Linked DNA regions of Xenopus tropicalis. The protein of the gene in region 3 interacts with the protein of the main gene of each other region in a biochemical or structural test. Links are inferred from orthologs where the notes say so. Each region holds a gene or a part of one and is shown on either strand. Other genes may lie near its edges.

The links. The genes of interacting proteins can lie anywhere in the genome.
Region 1: the proteins of sumo2 (region 3) and trim28 form a complex in vitro, tested with the Homo sapiens proteins (2 studies listed by BioGRID). The link is inferred for Xenopus tropicalis from reciprocal best matches to the Homo sapiens genes SUMO2 and TRIM28.
Region 2: the proteins of sumo2 (region 3) and baz1a form a complex in vitro, tested with the Homo sapiens proteins (2 studies listed by BioGRID). The link is inferred for Xenopus tropicalis from reciprocal best matches to the Homo sapiens genes SUMO2 and BAZ1A.
Region 4: the proteins of sumo2 (region 3) and dnm1l form a complex in vitro, tested with the Homo sapiens proteins (2 studies listed by BioGRID, with this or other methods). The link is inferred for Xenopus tropicalis from reciprocal best matches to the Homo sapiens genes SUMO2 and DNM1L.

The regions. Positions count from the first base shown.
Region 1 is NC_030683.2:102,993,789-102,997,424, reverse strand, and holds part of trim28 (transcription intermediary factor 1-beta), read right to left. Parts: intron 2,291-3,636; coding exon 2,144-2,290; intron 2,054-2,143; coding exon 1,939-2,053; intron 1,353-1,938; coding exon 1,267-1,352; intron 1-1,266. UniProt on the Homo sapiens protein: Nuclear corepressor for KRAB domain-containing zinc finger proteins (KRAB-ZFPs).
Region 2 is NC_030684.2:109,375,430-109,379,065, forward strand, and holds part of baz1a (bromodomain adjacent to zinc finger domain protein 1A), read right to left. Parts: intron 2,747-3,636; coding exon 2,468-2,746; intron 539-2,467; coding exon 404-538; intron 1-403. UniProt on the Homo sapiens protein: Regulatory subunit of the ATP-dependent ACF-1 and ACF-5 ISWI chromatin remodeling complexes, which form ordered nucleosome arrays on chromatin and slide edge- and center-positioned histone octamers away from their original location on the DNA template to facilitate access to DNA during DNA-templated processes such as DNA replication, transcription, and repair.
Region 3 is NC_030686.2:44,410,872-44,415,282, forward strand, and holds the start of sumo2 (small ubiquitin-related modifier 2 precursor), read left to right. Parts: upstream 1-1,529; 5' UTR 1,530-1,539; coding exon 1,540-1,560; intron 1,561-2,270; exon of another isoform or gene 2,271-2,507; intron 2,508-2,854; exon of another isoform or gene 2,855-3,712; intron 3,713-4,314; coding exon 4,315-4,411. UniProt on the Homo sapiens protein: Ubiquitin-like protein that can be covalently attached to proteins as a monomer or as a lysine-linked polymer.
Region 4 is NC_030679.2:4,788,607-4,792,242, forward strand, and holds part of dnm1l (dynamin-1-like protein), read right to left. Parts: intron 2,682-3,636; coding exon 2,595-2,681; intron 1,595-2,594; coding exon 1,432-1,594; intron 1,152-1,431; coding exon 1,031-1,151; intron 700-1,030; coding exon 568-699; intron 36-567; coding exon 1-35. UniProt on the Homo sapiens protein: Functions in mitochondrial and peroxisomal division.

The sequences.
Region 1 (3,636 bases), on a different chromosome or scaffold from region 3:
ATTATAAGATAAAAGAGGCAAATTACCATCGGCAGTACTGACACTATAGCAGTGTTTTGTACGCACTGTTCTTTGCTGGGATACAGGGGCAGGCAAAATGCCCTGTGTGCCATAAACCTTAAGGGCTCTGGCACACGGGGAGATTAGTCACCCGCGACAAATCGCCCAGTTCACGGGCGACTAATCTGCCCGAAATGCCATCCCACCGGCGAAAATGTAAATCCAAGTGGGATGGCATACGCGGCGGCGTGATTTTAGTGAAATTGCGCAAGTTGCCTTGAGAGGAAACTTCCACAATTTCAGTGAAAATCTCCCCGTGTGCCAGAGGCCAAAAGGATACAAACAGGTAAACCTTTGGGATTAAAAGCTCCATTTACAAAGGGAAAGTCTTAACTTATCTGGCTACTTAATACCTCAGAATGCCAGTACCAGAATTAGGGAGTGGGTTAGCTTACTTACAAGTGTGGCTTGCTTCTGCATTACATGCTACTCTGTAGGCAGCCACGGGGGAAATGAAGGCACTTCATCTGTGTATCTCAATGCACATGGAGCTCTGATTTCTTGCCGACATAGGGCGGGTTGCAGTTACAGGGAACTAGGCATAGTGCCATGTCAACATTGCACACTATACCATCTTTGTAAACCACTAGTATTGTCTTCTACTGTGTACCTATATATTATATTTAGCACGAAGGCACATGGGATATTTGTGCCATCAGAGAATGGCCTAAATCCACACAACTGCCTCCTAACGGCTGTAATGCAAACTTAATACATGTTTAAGGGACAGAACCGCCAGTCTGGTGCTTCCAGTTTGCATAAAGTCAATGAGAGGAGGAAGGAGCAGAAGCTTCAAAAGTTAAAACTTCCTTCATAACTGAATCATGTGCACACCTTCCAATCAAGGCTGAAATATCAAGTCATACACCAAAGGCACAAAATCCATACACTTGGACCTGTGAAAGTGATCTGTAATTAGGGGGTTTTCAAGGCCACTACAGAACATTCCTATATCAGTTACATTAGTTGAACATATCTATTTACATTAAATAAAGTCCAAGGGGGGGGGTCTCTAATGGGATGAACGTGATATGTTTTTTTTCAATTTGTTTTTGTTAAATATCCCCATCTTGTAATCCAAACCTGCATGGGCTGGATGAAGTTACCAGCTGTACCAGCTCTGGCTGGAGATGCTTGAATCTGGGAAGCACCAAGCCTTGGTCGATTCTGTACCATTGGATTAAAGTTAGTAAGAGAAGCCAGCACCTGAGATGACGCAGAATTTATAGACTGGGCTGCCAACGATCCAGAAGATGACTGAGGAACACCTGTTTTGTCGCATACAATTTTGCCTGTAAAATGGAAATAAGACTGCGGTTATAAATATAAAATAAAGATAATGCGCCCACTGACGCCAATTTTATGGTGAAGCAAAACAGGATAGATTCATCACTAAAGGCTACATGTATACTGTTGCCATCAATGGTCCAATATTATTTAGTTGATGACAGAATCTGGTTGTTATAATTTCCACGTTAATCTTAAATTCAAACACTGAAACCCACAATCTCTGTTTTCAGTCACCGGGTTCAGTGATCATGAAGAAACATAGCTCAGATTTATACAGGCGTTACTGATTAAACAAAATGGCAGCCTCCAGTCAGTGGGGCCCTTCTGGCCAAGCCTGAAGAACAGTTCTTGTTCTTTTCACAGACAATTAGTTTTGGTAAGGAGATAGGGCTCTATGAAAAGCAAGCAAGATGAAGCCATGCTGATCGCTCAGCCAGATACTGCTGGCAACTGTGTGGGATGTTCTTAGACAGAAGCTGTTTGGATCACACAAGCAGGCATTTATTATTTGAAACTTTGCCACAAGACATCAGTTATCTCTTCACTGAACATTATGAATAAGAAAAAGGGAAATGTTTCATTTCTTACCAAAAAACTCTGCATGCTTTGTCCAGGTATCAGAGTCCCACTGGAACTTTAAATCACCTAAAGGCTCAACTGGATCTACAATAACTTTTAGAGCACGATGCAACTGAAAATGTATCTATTGATCAGACAAAAAAAATGCAACAATTTAGGATGCATACTTAAGTAAAATCAGAAAGACAAAGCTAAACGCTATATGTTATATTACCAGTTTCTTTGAAAGCAATAAGGCTATGTTGTTGTCACTTTCCAGTGCCCACGTGGCAAACCTAAGGATGTGCTCTTGATGCTTTTGCAATTTGTTCATAGCCCAGTGCTGCTTTTCCAGTTTATCCTGATGACCTTCTGTTACTTTCTAAAGAAAAAAAAAATATATATATATATATCATAGGATGGGTAGCTTCAGCACTGTGATTTAAAGTTATCCAGAATGTATCCAGAAGCCTATGATCAGGTCAGGCACAGTGGTAGGTGAACTGGACCAGCAACATTACTTACAATTGCATCGAAAAATACAGACATTCAGGAGTTGTTGCATTCCTACAAAGGCTGATAATTTAGAGCTGGATCATCAGCATTTAAGATTTTGTTCTAAGAATGGAACTTATTTTTGTACCCTTTTGTACCTGTTATTAATTGTATTTTTTTTATGGAACCTGTATGTTCAATTACTGTACAGCACTGCAGAATTTATACAAAGGATAATAATAATAATAATCAGCAGAATTGTTAAAGGAGAACTAAACCCTAAAAATGCCATAACTTAAATACTAAATTGACTACACTAGCCAAAAGTTTCAGCATCTCTGTAGTAGTAATGGTACTGGTCTTTACAGTAGTCACAGGAGATCCCCATCTTGGATTCTGTTAGAACTGTCCGGGACAGGGCACATGGTCCGTGTGATCCGAGCAGCTGTTGAAAAGCTAAGTCTTTGCAAATTATCAAACAGAAAATGAGGTTGGCCTGTAATATAAGCTCATGCTACAGGGATAATTATTCTATTCTGATGCAATTGCCCTGATTTCAGAGCTGCCATGTAAAGTGAATCTAAATGAATTACTAAGCTCTAACTGACAGAAGCACAGAACATGTGCAGTGAATCAGCAGAAAAGATGATAGGGGGCTACTGGGGGCACAGATCTTACCTGCTAAAGGGCTGTGGTTGCCTTGGATTGGTGCAGAAGCCCAAAACAATGTTCAAAAGTTCTATCCTATTCCTTTAGTTAAGCTTTGGTTCTTTAAATTAGTTTCACTTATCTTTCCCATATGTCTTTGATTTAGGTTATTTTCTTGATACATTGAGGATGCACTAAAAGTTAATTTGATATATCTAGATCAGTATTCCAAGACACAGCTTATACTATATGATTTCTAGTTACTCTAAGAACTACAAATTTTGATTTAATACAAATTTTGTAAACCTCAAGAATTGACAGCACACCAGATAAGCAAATTACTTGCTCTTGCCCTGCTAAAACCTGCTAGCAATGACTCTGTATCTTAGACGACAACAGTAAAAAGAGTATTCAAGTTTGTATTTAAAGGAACAAAAGACAGCAGCTCAAACAGAAAACAAAATGTATTTATATAATTTGCCCATATCTCTTTCCTCCCAACAGCAAACTGTGCCTAATGCCAATCCTGCGTTGCACTGTACACTTACAAGAAAATCACTTATTGGAAGAGCAAATAAAAATGTA
Region 2 (3,636 bases), on a different chromosome or scaffold from region 3:
TAAGCTTTATCAGAAAGTTCTATGTAAATACAGCAAAACATTTTACAGTATTGCTGCTCTGAGTCCTCTGTGAAAACAAACTGCATTCCCTTGCTTCTATTTATTACACATAAGCTTCAGAGCCAGACTTTCCTCTCTCAGCTTTAAGCCTACACAGCTTGCTCCTTTCTCCCTCTTCCCCCTGGACATGTCTGAGCTTTTTAACTCAACTTACTCGTTTTAAGTATTGCCGATTCAGTAATGCGGGTTTGCTTAAGAAAATGGTAGCACCTTAAACAAACATAGCAGATCTATCATGTAACCTGAATTTGTATTTTTATATTATAAAAAAAATTACTATCCAGATAAAGTCATGTGCAAATTTATTATAACATCTTTCTAAATCTGTGTGAAGTTCACTTACCTAGTCTGTGGCATTTCTTTAGGTGGTTCCTCATCACTATCACTGATAACAATAGTATCTTCATTACTAACATGGCCATTAGCCACTCCATTCTGTTGAGGAGGGAGTTTAACTTCCAAGATTTTGCACTCCAACCTGAAAAACAAAGGCTGAATAAACTAAGCAGAATCATTTCAAACATGTCTGTGCATGCAAAGTGTTTTCTGAAAGAACTGGTAATAGCATTCAGACAATGCTTTGCTCAGCCTTTATTTTCTAGCCATGTGTAACAGAAATAAATGCAAAAAGCTTTAAAACTGGCTTTTAGTTACAAAGGTAGACTTTACCGCAAAATCCTAATGCCTCTTTTGTTCTTACAGCAATAAACCAAACATTTTTACTATTGGAATTGTGGAATTTCTGGCTTGTATAAACAGACTAATGGATATTTCAAGCTATTATTACCCAGGTTCATTAGTGCAAATATTTTTAATCAACATATATTTGTGAAACAATAGTATTTATTTTACACCTGGGTAAAGGATTTTATCAGGCTCTATTCTATATCAGATAACTGAAGTATGCTCTATTATATACCCAGGACTAAAGTACAGTTATAGGACCTGTTATTCAGAATTCTTGGGACCTGGGGTTTTGTGGATAAGAGGTCTTTCCGTAATCTGGATCTTCATATTTTAAATCTACTAAAAAATAATTGAAACGTTAATTAAACCCAATAGGATTGTTTTGCCTCCAGTAAGGATTAAAGGAGAAGGAAAGGCTAAGTCATTTGGGGGTGCCAAAACGTTAGGCACCCCCAAGTGATTTTAAGCGCTTACCTTTTACCCTGGGGCTGGTGCCGCTGTTAGGAAAAAAAAAAACACCAGCCCGGGGTACCTGCAGCGATTGCTTCCTCCTCCGTGTTCGCGCCTGCGCAGTAGAGTGAAAAGCCGAACTTTAACAAAGAAGTCGGCTTTTCACTCTACTGCGCATGCGCCGGCCCAGGGATTTTGCCGGCAGAAGAAACTAGGAAGAAGGAAGTGCTTGAAGGTACTAACAGGGGCACCAGCCCGGGGTAAGCGATTAAAGTCACTTGGGGGTGCCTAACATTTTGGCACCCCCAAGTGACTTAGTCTTTCCTTCTCCTTTAAAGGGGTTGTTCAATTTTTAGTATGATGTAGGGTGTAATATTCTGAGACAATTTGCAATTGGTCTTCATGTTTTTTTATTTGTAGTGTTTTAGTCATTTCACTTTTTGTTTAGCAGCTCTTCAGTTTGGAGTTTCAGTAGCTATCTGGTTGCTAGGGTCCAAATAACATTAGCAACCAGGGTGCAGGTTGAATGAGAGGCTGGTATATGAATAGGAGAGGACATGAATAGAAAAATAAAATACGTTTCTATAACATACTAAAAGTTTACTTGAAGGTGAACCACCCCTTTAATAATCTTAGTTGGGTACAAGGAAGTGTTTTGTTATTAAAGGAAAAAATAAATATGAAACACAAAAATTTTGAAATAGAGTCAATGGAAGATGGTCTTCTGTAATTTGGACCTTTCTGGATTACGGGTTTCGGGAAAATGGACCCATACTTCTATATAATAATAGTAAAAAAAAAGCTAAGGTACAGATATTGGCTGGTGATCTGGTAACGAAAGTCCAGAATATATAAATAATATAGCATGATAGAAAGCACTTCTATTCTGAGAACACCTGTCCATCGCCCAAAAGCATTATGATCTGAGCTAGGTTTTAATACACTTTTACACAAGTGTCCCCTGGGCCAATTTTCCCACAGAGATTAATCTTGAGGAAAGCCTGCCAAGTTGGGAAGACTAGCCTCCTATGCAAGCAAGGAGTTATTGTGTAGCTTGCCATGTAGCATTAGTTATTAGTAAATAAATAATAATATAACACTAATTGTTTCACTGTACTTCCTCTTCTGTGCAACGTCATGATAGAATACATTATCTTAAGCCTTGCACAGAGTTGTTTTTCTGGCTCAGCCATTGCAAGAGGAAAATGTCAGACACTGCTGTTTTCACAAAGACACGTACTGATCTGCTTCACTGACTTATTCAATTTACCTTGCGCCACTGTTTCTCACCACAGTCACTGTTTCATCAACAAAGAATCTGTCCTTCACATAGGCAAATATTTCTTCACACAAATCTGTCACCCGCTGGCGTCTCACAAGTGTGGAGAGGTACAAGATAGGGACGATTAAGGACTCGGGGAAGGTCTTCAGACTCTGTCTCACTTTTTTCTCCGATTCAAGTGCTTCTTGGTAGGTAAGGCCAGATTTGCCTGTCAGGGAGCAGCTCCATACAAGGCTGTTGCACAGGATAGTACGTTCAAAAAAATCACTGTGTAAGGGAAAGCAATAGAAAAGTTAAATGTTAAACAGTAAAACACTTATTTTAGCTTTTAGGTGAAATTACAATTGAATTAGAACTTACATTGATTAAAAAAATAATATAGCTTAGGAAGTGGTACTTCGGGCACTATTAAAGTGGACCTGTCACCCAGACATGAAAATCTGTATAATAAAAGTCCTGTTCAAATTAAACATGAAACCCAAATTCATTTTTATATTAACACATCCAAACCCATTATAAAGGCATTTAAAAATCACAGCTGTCAATCATATATTGCTTGCCCCGCCTCTATGCCTTAGGCATAGAGGCGGGGCAGAAAGTAACTTTAGCTTTCCATTCAGCACTTCCTAGATGTCACTGCACATCTCACTTCTCCCCTCCCTCCTCCTTATCTAATTGTGTAGCCAGTGCATGGGCCTGGGCATCAGGTCCCCCATTCTATCACATAAACAAGATTTTGGCATGATACAAAGCTTGCCTTAATAACAGTGTCCACAAAATGGTGCCTGCCTGCTTGCTTTCATTGAGTAATTCCAAGACGGAAGGAAGCAAGATTTATATTATTTATATAGAGTAAGTAAAGTTTATTTTGCTCAACTAACAATATAGAAAATAATTTGGATTTATTTCTTAGGGTGACAGGTCCGCTTTAAAAACCATTTTAAGAGTAACAACAAGTGCCCAAATCTGCTGCACTGGCTTGCACAGTGGGTCACCTGCAACTGCATTTACAAGTACTTATCAGGCAACAGTTTCCTGGAAGTGTGGACAGCTGCATTTCAAAGCATCAACTGGGACTACAGCTTGCACAGGTGCAGGTTTACATTTATGGATGATCATGTGCTGCCATTAAAGGGGAACGGTTGGCACACATAAAA
Region 3 (4,411 bases):
TATCAGGAGTCACGATCCGCACATTTGGCAACCCTGCCATATGGCCACCTTTAGGATGGGTGTTGGGTGCAGACTGCACTAACATAGAGAGTAGACCAACTTTGAACCACATGGTGTTTTCTTTTGTTTCAAGTTATGTTTGGATCAGAAGAATGGCTGCTGATCTCATATAATACTTATGACTCATTTATTTTGATATGCAATTTACTCTCCCCTTTATTTAAAATATTTGCTGTGGTTTCTCCCTTTTGCTTGTGACATTTGTATTGTCATCCCTTTGTTGTTTACAGATCTCCACCTTACAAGCAAACTCCAAATGAAAGAAAATAAATGCCCTTATAACCATGTCCCAATATGCACTGCTTGTACCCTAGGCAATTTTGGGTGGGTTTTAGGCCTTTTCATTTTTGGGGGGGTAACTATGAGGAGCAGAAGGCTGTCAGTGTTATTAACAGTAAATAGGGAAGAAAGACAGTAAATCCCAGTGTTGGAATGAGGTGTGTGGGGTCCACCACCTCAACAGACGGTTTTTCTCCTATCGTTCCGCTCGTCCAGTCCCACCCTGGGAAATGGCTGTATTTTATGTCCCTAAAAGGGCAGCCACCTTCCATGATTTTTATGTTTTGTCTGGAAACTTTGGATATGGTTTGGATATGATTTTTATGTTTTGTCTGGTAACTTTGGATATGGTTTGGATATGATTTTTATGTTTTGTCTGGTAACTTTGGATATGGTTTGGATATGATTTTTATGTTTTGTCTGGTAACTTTGGATATGGTTTGGATATGATTTTTATGTTTTGTCTGGTAGCTTTGGATATGGTTAGCTTCTCTATGTTTTTGGTATGTATAACTTTATTTATAAAGCGCCACAAGGATACGCAGCACTGTACAATCTTACAATATACACAATTACCCACAGGTAGGGCAAGTGTTATAATAAATTTCAATAAATAAGTATAAATACACAGGGAGTAAGTGCCATGGGGTATGAGACACAGTAGGAAGGAGGTCCCTGCCCCGTAGAGCTTACAATCTAAGTGGTTGGGTAACATACAGGCACAAACTGGAAGGTAAGAGGCACCAGGTATGGGCATTTGCCCTTAAGTGCAGGACTGATCAAAATAAAGTTTTAGTGAAAAGGTAACTGGTATGGCAACTGGTATGGCTTCCTCCTTTGGCTTAATTATAGGGGGGGCTGTTTCTGGAAGCTTCTATCATGGCTCCTGCCCCCTCTATGAGACTAGGCCAATGAAGTCACTGGAAGGGATTTAGCCAATCCCGGGTACAATGCGGCCCAACCTCACCCTGACTCTCCTCAGAGTCAGACCCCTCCCCCCATGCGCGCCCCCGCCGCCACGTGCTCCCCAAGGCGGGCTTTTCCCTACAGTGGAAATAGCGGCGGGGGCGCGCACGCAGAGAGTGCGCCAAATCTTCCTTTCCGTACGTGCGCGCTCTCGTTCCACGTCCCGCGCCAGTTCAGGCTCTTTGTGAGGAGGAGGCAGCAGCGAGAGTACCGGGCACCGGGAGCGAACTGACAATGGCGGACGATAAGCCCAAGGTCCTGCTCCGGGCTGGGAGAGGGAAGGGTCGCATAGCGGGCTTGGGGCCGGGGGCAGTGGGTGCGGGGCAGGAGGAGGGAGAGGCCTAGGCGCTAAAGGGAGGGGGCAGCGGCCTGCGGGCTGTGCGGGGGCTCTGTGGGTACGGGAGGGGCCCGTAGGGAGACAGCCGGGAGAGGGACGCCCATACTAGCGGGGCTTGGTTATGGGAGGCTGCACTGCATTGGCCCACTAGGTTTATGGGGAAGGGAGCACAGGAACCAGGGAGCACTGGGGAAGGGAGCACTGGGGAAGGGAGCACTGGGGAAGGGAGCACTGGGGAAGGGAGCACAGGGGAAGGGAGCACTGGGGAAGGGAGCACAGGGGAAGGGAGCACTGGGGAAGGGAGCACAGGAACCAGGGAGCACTGGGGAAGGGAGCACTGGGGAAGGGAGCACAGGGGAAGGGAGCACAGGGGAAGGGAGCACAGGGGAAGGGAGCACAGGGGAAGGGAGCACAGGGGAAGGGAGCACAGGGGAAGGGAGCACAGGGGAAGGGAGCACAGGGGAAGGGAGCACTGGGGAAGGGAGCACTGGGGAAGGGAGCACTGGGGAAGGGAGCACTGGGGAAGGGAGCACTGGGGAAGGGAGCACTGGGGAAGGGAGCACTGGGGAAGGGAGCACTGGGGAAGGGAGCACTGGGGAAGGGAGCACTGGGGAAGGGAGCACAGGAACCAGGGAGCACAGGAACCAGGGAGCACTGGGGAAGGGAGCACAGGAGCCAGGGAGCACTGGGGAAGGGAGGACAGGAACCAGGGAGCACTGGGGAAGGGTATGTTGGGCACTGCCAGTATTGGGAGATGGGAAGTAAATGGGAATGGGCGACCTTGGCTATACTGGGAATAGGGATATTAGGGGGGCCTGAGCCCAGGTATGTTGTGGGGGAATATACTGGGGCTGGGAATTGGGAGGTTAGGGGGCCCTGAGCCCAGGTATGTTGGGGGGGGAATATACTGGGCCTGGGAATTGGCAGTTTAGGGGGCTCTGAGCCTAGGTATGTTGGGGACATATACTGGGGCTGGGAATAGGGAGGTTAGGGGGCCCTGAGCCCAGGTATGTTGGGGGGGAATATACTGGGGCTGGGAATTGGCAGCTTAGAGGGCCCTGAGCCCAGGTATGTTGGGGGCATATACTGGGAATTGGGAGCTTAGGGGGCCCTGAGCCCAGGTATGTTGGGGGCATATACTGGGGCTGTGAATTGGGAGCTTAGGGGGCCCTGAGCCCAGGTATGTTGGGGGCATATACTGGGAATTGGGAGCTTAGGGGGCCCTGAGCCCAGGTATGTTGGGGGCATATACTGGGAATTGGGAGCTTAGGGGGCCCTGAGCCCAGGTATGTTGGGGGCATATACTGGGAATTGGGAGCTTAGGGGGCCCTGAGCCCAGGTATGTTGGGGGCATATACTGGGGCTGTGAATTGGGAGCTTAGGGGGCCCTGAGCCCAGGTATGTTGGGGGCATATACTGGGGCTGTGAATTGGGAGCTTAGGGGGCCCTGAGCCCAGGTATGTTGGGGGCATATACTGGGGCTGGGAATTGGGAGCTTAGGGGGCCCTGAGCCCAGGTATGTTGGGGGCATATACTGGGGCTGGGAATTGGGAGCTTAGGGGGCCCTGAGCCCAGGTATGTTGGGGGCATTGACTTTAGGGAATGAGGTAACTTGGGGAGAGAGGAATTCAAGAATGTTGAGTGGGAAAAGATGTAGCCTCTGGCCAGTGAGAAGGGCAAGTATTATGGGAGAGCTTAATGGTGGGAAAATGGGTATGCAGGGCTCAGTGCCATTAAATAGAGTTAATACTGGCCAGAAGCCTAGGTTATGTTGGGGGCATTCCATGCAGAGTAAGGGGCATAAGGGTGAAGACACACTGAGCTACTAGCAGCAACTAATTTTTTACAGCTACAAAACACCAGAAAATCCCCTGCCTTAGACAGTATGGAGCGTTGCGAAAACAGAGAATTATCAGTAACTGATTGGCATTGAATATTTTAGTAGCTGTGACAAGTAGCTGCTACTACTGTGTGTCTTCGACCTAAGGAAGGAGAATTCTTAGTATGGAAGGAATTTTAGAATTGAGGAAGTAGTGTAGGTAATGGAGGAACACGTGTTAGAAGCAGGAAGGGTAAGGTGCATTAGGCACAGTGGAAAGAAAGTTCTGAGAACTTTTAAACTTGTATTAAGTCTTTAGATTCAGGGTCTGTGACACTGTGAAGCAGTACCATGTTATTCTGCATACTGGCCCTCAATGTGATATTGCTCTCTTAATCACTGGGACCTGTTAATTGGGGACCTAGAGACACAGGCAAGCGTACTGTAAGGCTAATATATACGATGAGGTTAGGGGCTAGACCAGCTTTTGTGAGTGTAGTTGTAAGTTAAATGCCTGTGCAGTCAGTAAACATTCCAGAACTGTAGCTCCCAGCAGTGACTGTTGTTCTAAAGGGAACATTTGGTGTATTTTGTGTAATGACATGCAGCCTTATAACTTCTGTGCTCCCCATCTTTCTTCTTGTGCGTTGTGAACACATTACCAAATGTAGCATGGTCCCCGGCCAGATCTAATATAACTAGAGTTCTTTTGTCATTTGGTGCCAAAGTATTCTCTAGAATGGGGTGCAAAGAGCTCATTTCTCACAACGGGATGAATAACCACAAGCGTTACCAGTGTTTCTGTGCCATGATGCCCCTTCCCAGCACTCATTCCACTTTTTACTTCTTTTAGGAAGGTGTTAAGACCGAGAACAACGACCACATCAACCTGAAAGTGGCTGGCCAGGATGGCTCAGTGGTGCAATTCAAGATCAAGCGGCACACACCGC
Region 4 (3,636 bases), on a different chromosome or scaffold from region 3:
CCGGCAGACAGTCGCGGATGTGGTGCATCAGTAGCCTACAGACACGGCATATACATATGGGGCATTTTATCCTCTTGCTGCCAACATATAGTTGTACCGAGTAATACCTCCCAGATTCCATTGCTGTTACCCAGAGCAGGCATTAAAGGGGTGGTTCACCTTTAAAGACAAACTGCAATTGGTCTTCATTTTTTATTATTTGCCGTTTTAGAAATATTTAGCTTTTTATTCAGCAGCTCTCCAGTTTGGAATTTCAAGCAGCTATCAGGTTGCTAGGGTCCAATTTTACCTAGCAACCAGGCAGTGGCTTGAATTAGACACGGGAATATGGATAGAGGAAGGCCTAAATATAAAATAAGTGACAATAAAACTGTAGGAATAGGTTTTTGGCTGCCGGGGTCAGTGACTCCCATTTGAGAGCAGGAAAGAGGCAGAAGAGGAAGGAAAAGAATTCAAAAACTATAAAGAATGAAAAATAAAGACCAATTGAAAACTTGCTAAGAAGAGGCCATTCTGTAATATACTAAAAGTTAACCTAATGGTGGCCATTTTGGAAGGAAGCGTTACCTGTTAAGAGTCCGTGCAAGATATTTGGTTCCGTTCCTGTTTGCCAGGGAGGGGTATTTCTTCTGCAGGAACCCGTACTCATCCCGGATAGAGTCGGCCACGCTCTTTTTGTTATTAATGTCCAACTGGCTCCTTTGAATTAGAAATCAATAATTAGGGTTCTCACCATATGAAGCTATTGCCTTTCTCCAGCCAATAGCTCAGCCCCATTCCGAGAAATAAATGGCGACTGGCTCTCATTATATGGGGTGCAATCCATAGCAACCAATCGGAAATTCTCTTTTTTTTCAGCCAGCTGCAGGTAAAACCATGAATGCAGCAATTTGATTGGTTGCCACGGGTTACTGCCCATGGGTAATCGTGCTTAGTGTTGATAAATGACCCCCAATAACCCTTTAGATCTGTGCTGCCCAAGCTGCGACCATGCCATTGTATATGGTAAAAAGGTAACGGATCTGGATACCTGTTGACCACTCCGATGATGCCAAGTTTGACCGGGATGACCCGTCCCAGAAGCACATCCATAGCGTCCGTCCCTGCGTCCATCAGGTCCAGCTTGGTTATGACGGCGAGAGTCCTGCGACCTGGATAAATGGGATCGGGGAAAATTTAGGAACATGTGACCAGGGAAGCCATTATGGCGGACAGTGTTAAAGGGAAACTATACCCCCAAAATGAATACTTAACCAACAGCTGAAGTGTGGAAGCAAAAAACAGAACTCTGCCCATACATTGGCTGATGTGGCCCCTAGCACCCCAGGGGGTGGCCCTTAATTCTTAAAATGGTCATTTTCTATTTAGGATTACCCAGTAGCATTTCTGGTCATGATCACATGGTTTCTACCCAGAAAAGAGGTGACTTACCGTCAGGGTCACTTTCCCGCGCGATCTTAAGAGCCTCTGAAGTTGCCATGTCGGTGTTGGCAGCCGTGACTGCCAGGATAATGGAATTGGGGTTGCTGATGTACCTCAGGATGAGCTCGCGGATCTGGATTTCGATGTCTTTGGGTTGGTCGCCGACAGGTACCTGGGGAAGAAAAACCTCCACGTTATAATAATGGATATAAATTTCAGGGTAAAGACAACTGGAATGGAAATGGGTCCCATTTCTGCCCCAGAGCTCTGAATCTTTCTACTTCCTGCTCCTGGGCTGCTCTCTTCCCCCCGTGCCCAGGTAGGAGGCATTAAAAGCCACACAAAGGACGTTCATCTTTTGGCCACTAGAGGGTAATCTTGTTCCGTTAAACACCAGCAAACGCCTGAGGAGTGCAGTGCTGTACCGGGCCACTTTGGGGGGTTATGTAATAAAAGGCACTGCCCAGGAGCAGTAACCTATAGCCAGGGCCGCCATCAGAAATCACAGGGCCCCCTCCCACAGGGCTCCTGCCTCAATGGCCCCTCTCATCAGTACAAAGGACACACAGACATAAAAAGGATCAGGGCCCCCCTAACACTATGCTGGCCAGATCCCCAAAGACAGTGCCCCCAATTGCCCCCGGCAGACAGTGCCCCCAATTGCCCCCGGCAGACAGTGCCCCCAATTGCCGCCGGCAGACAGTGCCCCCAATTGCCCCCGGCAGACAGTGCCCCCAATTGCCCCCGGCAGACAGTGCCCCCAATTGCCCCCGGCAGACAGTGCCCCCAATTGCCCCCGGCAGACAGTGCCCCCCATACACCGTCTTCTTTGGCATCTTCTATGGCGGCGGTGGCTCCGGCGGACCGGCCCGTTTATAAGGTTACCCCCCCGTTAATACTGACATCACACACATGCACGGGACACGACCAATCGGATTGGATTACAGATGACAGGGTCCGTCAGAAAACTGTACCTTTAAAAGTGAAGGTTGCCCGGGCCCGGGACAACTGTGCCCCCTGTGCCTCCCTGATGGCAGCACTGCCTATAGCAACCAATCAGCAAGTAGAATTTACTACTGTTTAAAAGCAAACATCTTATTGGTTGCTAGGGTTACTGCTACTGGAGAAACGCCTTTTATTACACATGGGGGCTTGTCTTCCCCCCACGTTACCTTTGTCATTCCTGGCAAATCCACGAGCGTCAGGTTGACCACATTCGGGGAGAATATCTTTAGGTGGATGGGCTCCGAGCTGATACCCTGGAAAGAGAAGGAGACATTAAGTCTACAAAGTTTGGGCTCGGGCCCAACGGCCTTCTGGTACCTGCAGAGCTTCTGTCAGTAAATGGGCTGCAGGATTAACCTGTTACATACCGCTGTCAGTGCACACAATAAATTCACTGGGGCTCATTTAGTAACACTGGGCAAGTTTGCCCCGTGGGCAGTTACCCATAGCAACCAATCAGAGACTGGCTTTTTTCAGCCAGCTGCAGGTAGAAAAATGAATGCACGCGTTTGATTGGCTTTCATGGGTTTGCCCAGTGTTGAGAAATGATCCTTTAATCCTAAGGATGTACAGGTATTACTCGCTGGGTGTGAAGTGACCGCCAGCGGCAGAACCGGAACCTTTAGAACAATGGCCCGAGGTAAAACCAGTTCTTGGCCGTCACGCTGCAGTGAGCGCCAGCCTACGGGCGCCAGTCTGCTCTTTGTTTGATAATAAAAGGGTTAATTCATGCCTGAATACTATGGGACATATTTATAAACATGCATTGTTCCTTACTGTACTCGGGTATATAGTGAATATAGAAAAGAAATAAAGAAAAGGGTAAAGCACAAGCGGAAGCTGTGACTAAAATCAGTTTATGGGCATTAAAAGTCATGTGACTTCTTGGCAATACAAACAGCGGCCCAAAGTAAACGAGGGTAATTATTTAATTATGTGCCCTGCAGAACAGGAAGGACAATGAGGGATGGCGGGAAGGGACATATTAAATGTAATTAGGCTCCCTGCCCAAGCGATGCTCCGTAATAACAACTTCATGCAATGGCTGCTTAATTAGCCATGATATAAAGGAGGTTGTGTTTAAAGGGCAAGTTAAATACAGGACGCCCCAGTAGGTAACCTACATGGGGTCACTGACCCCCACAAACTAACAGCCGACTGTGAGGTTGATATTCCTATTTGGTTACTGTAATTATTTCTTGTAGCCTA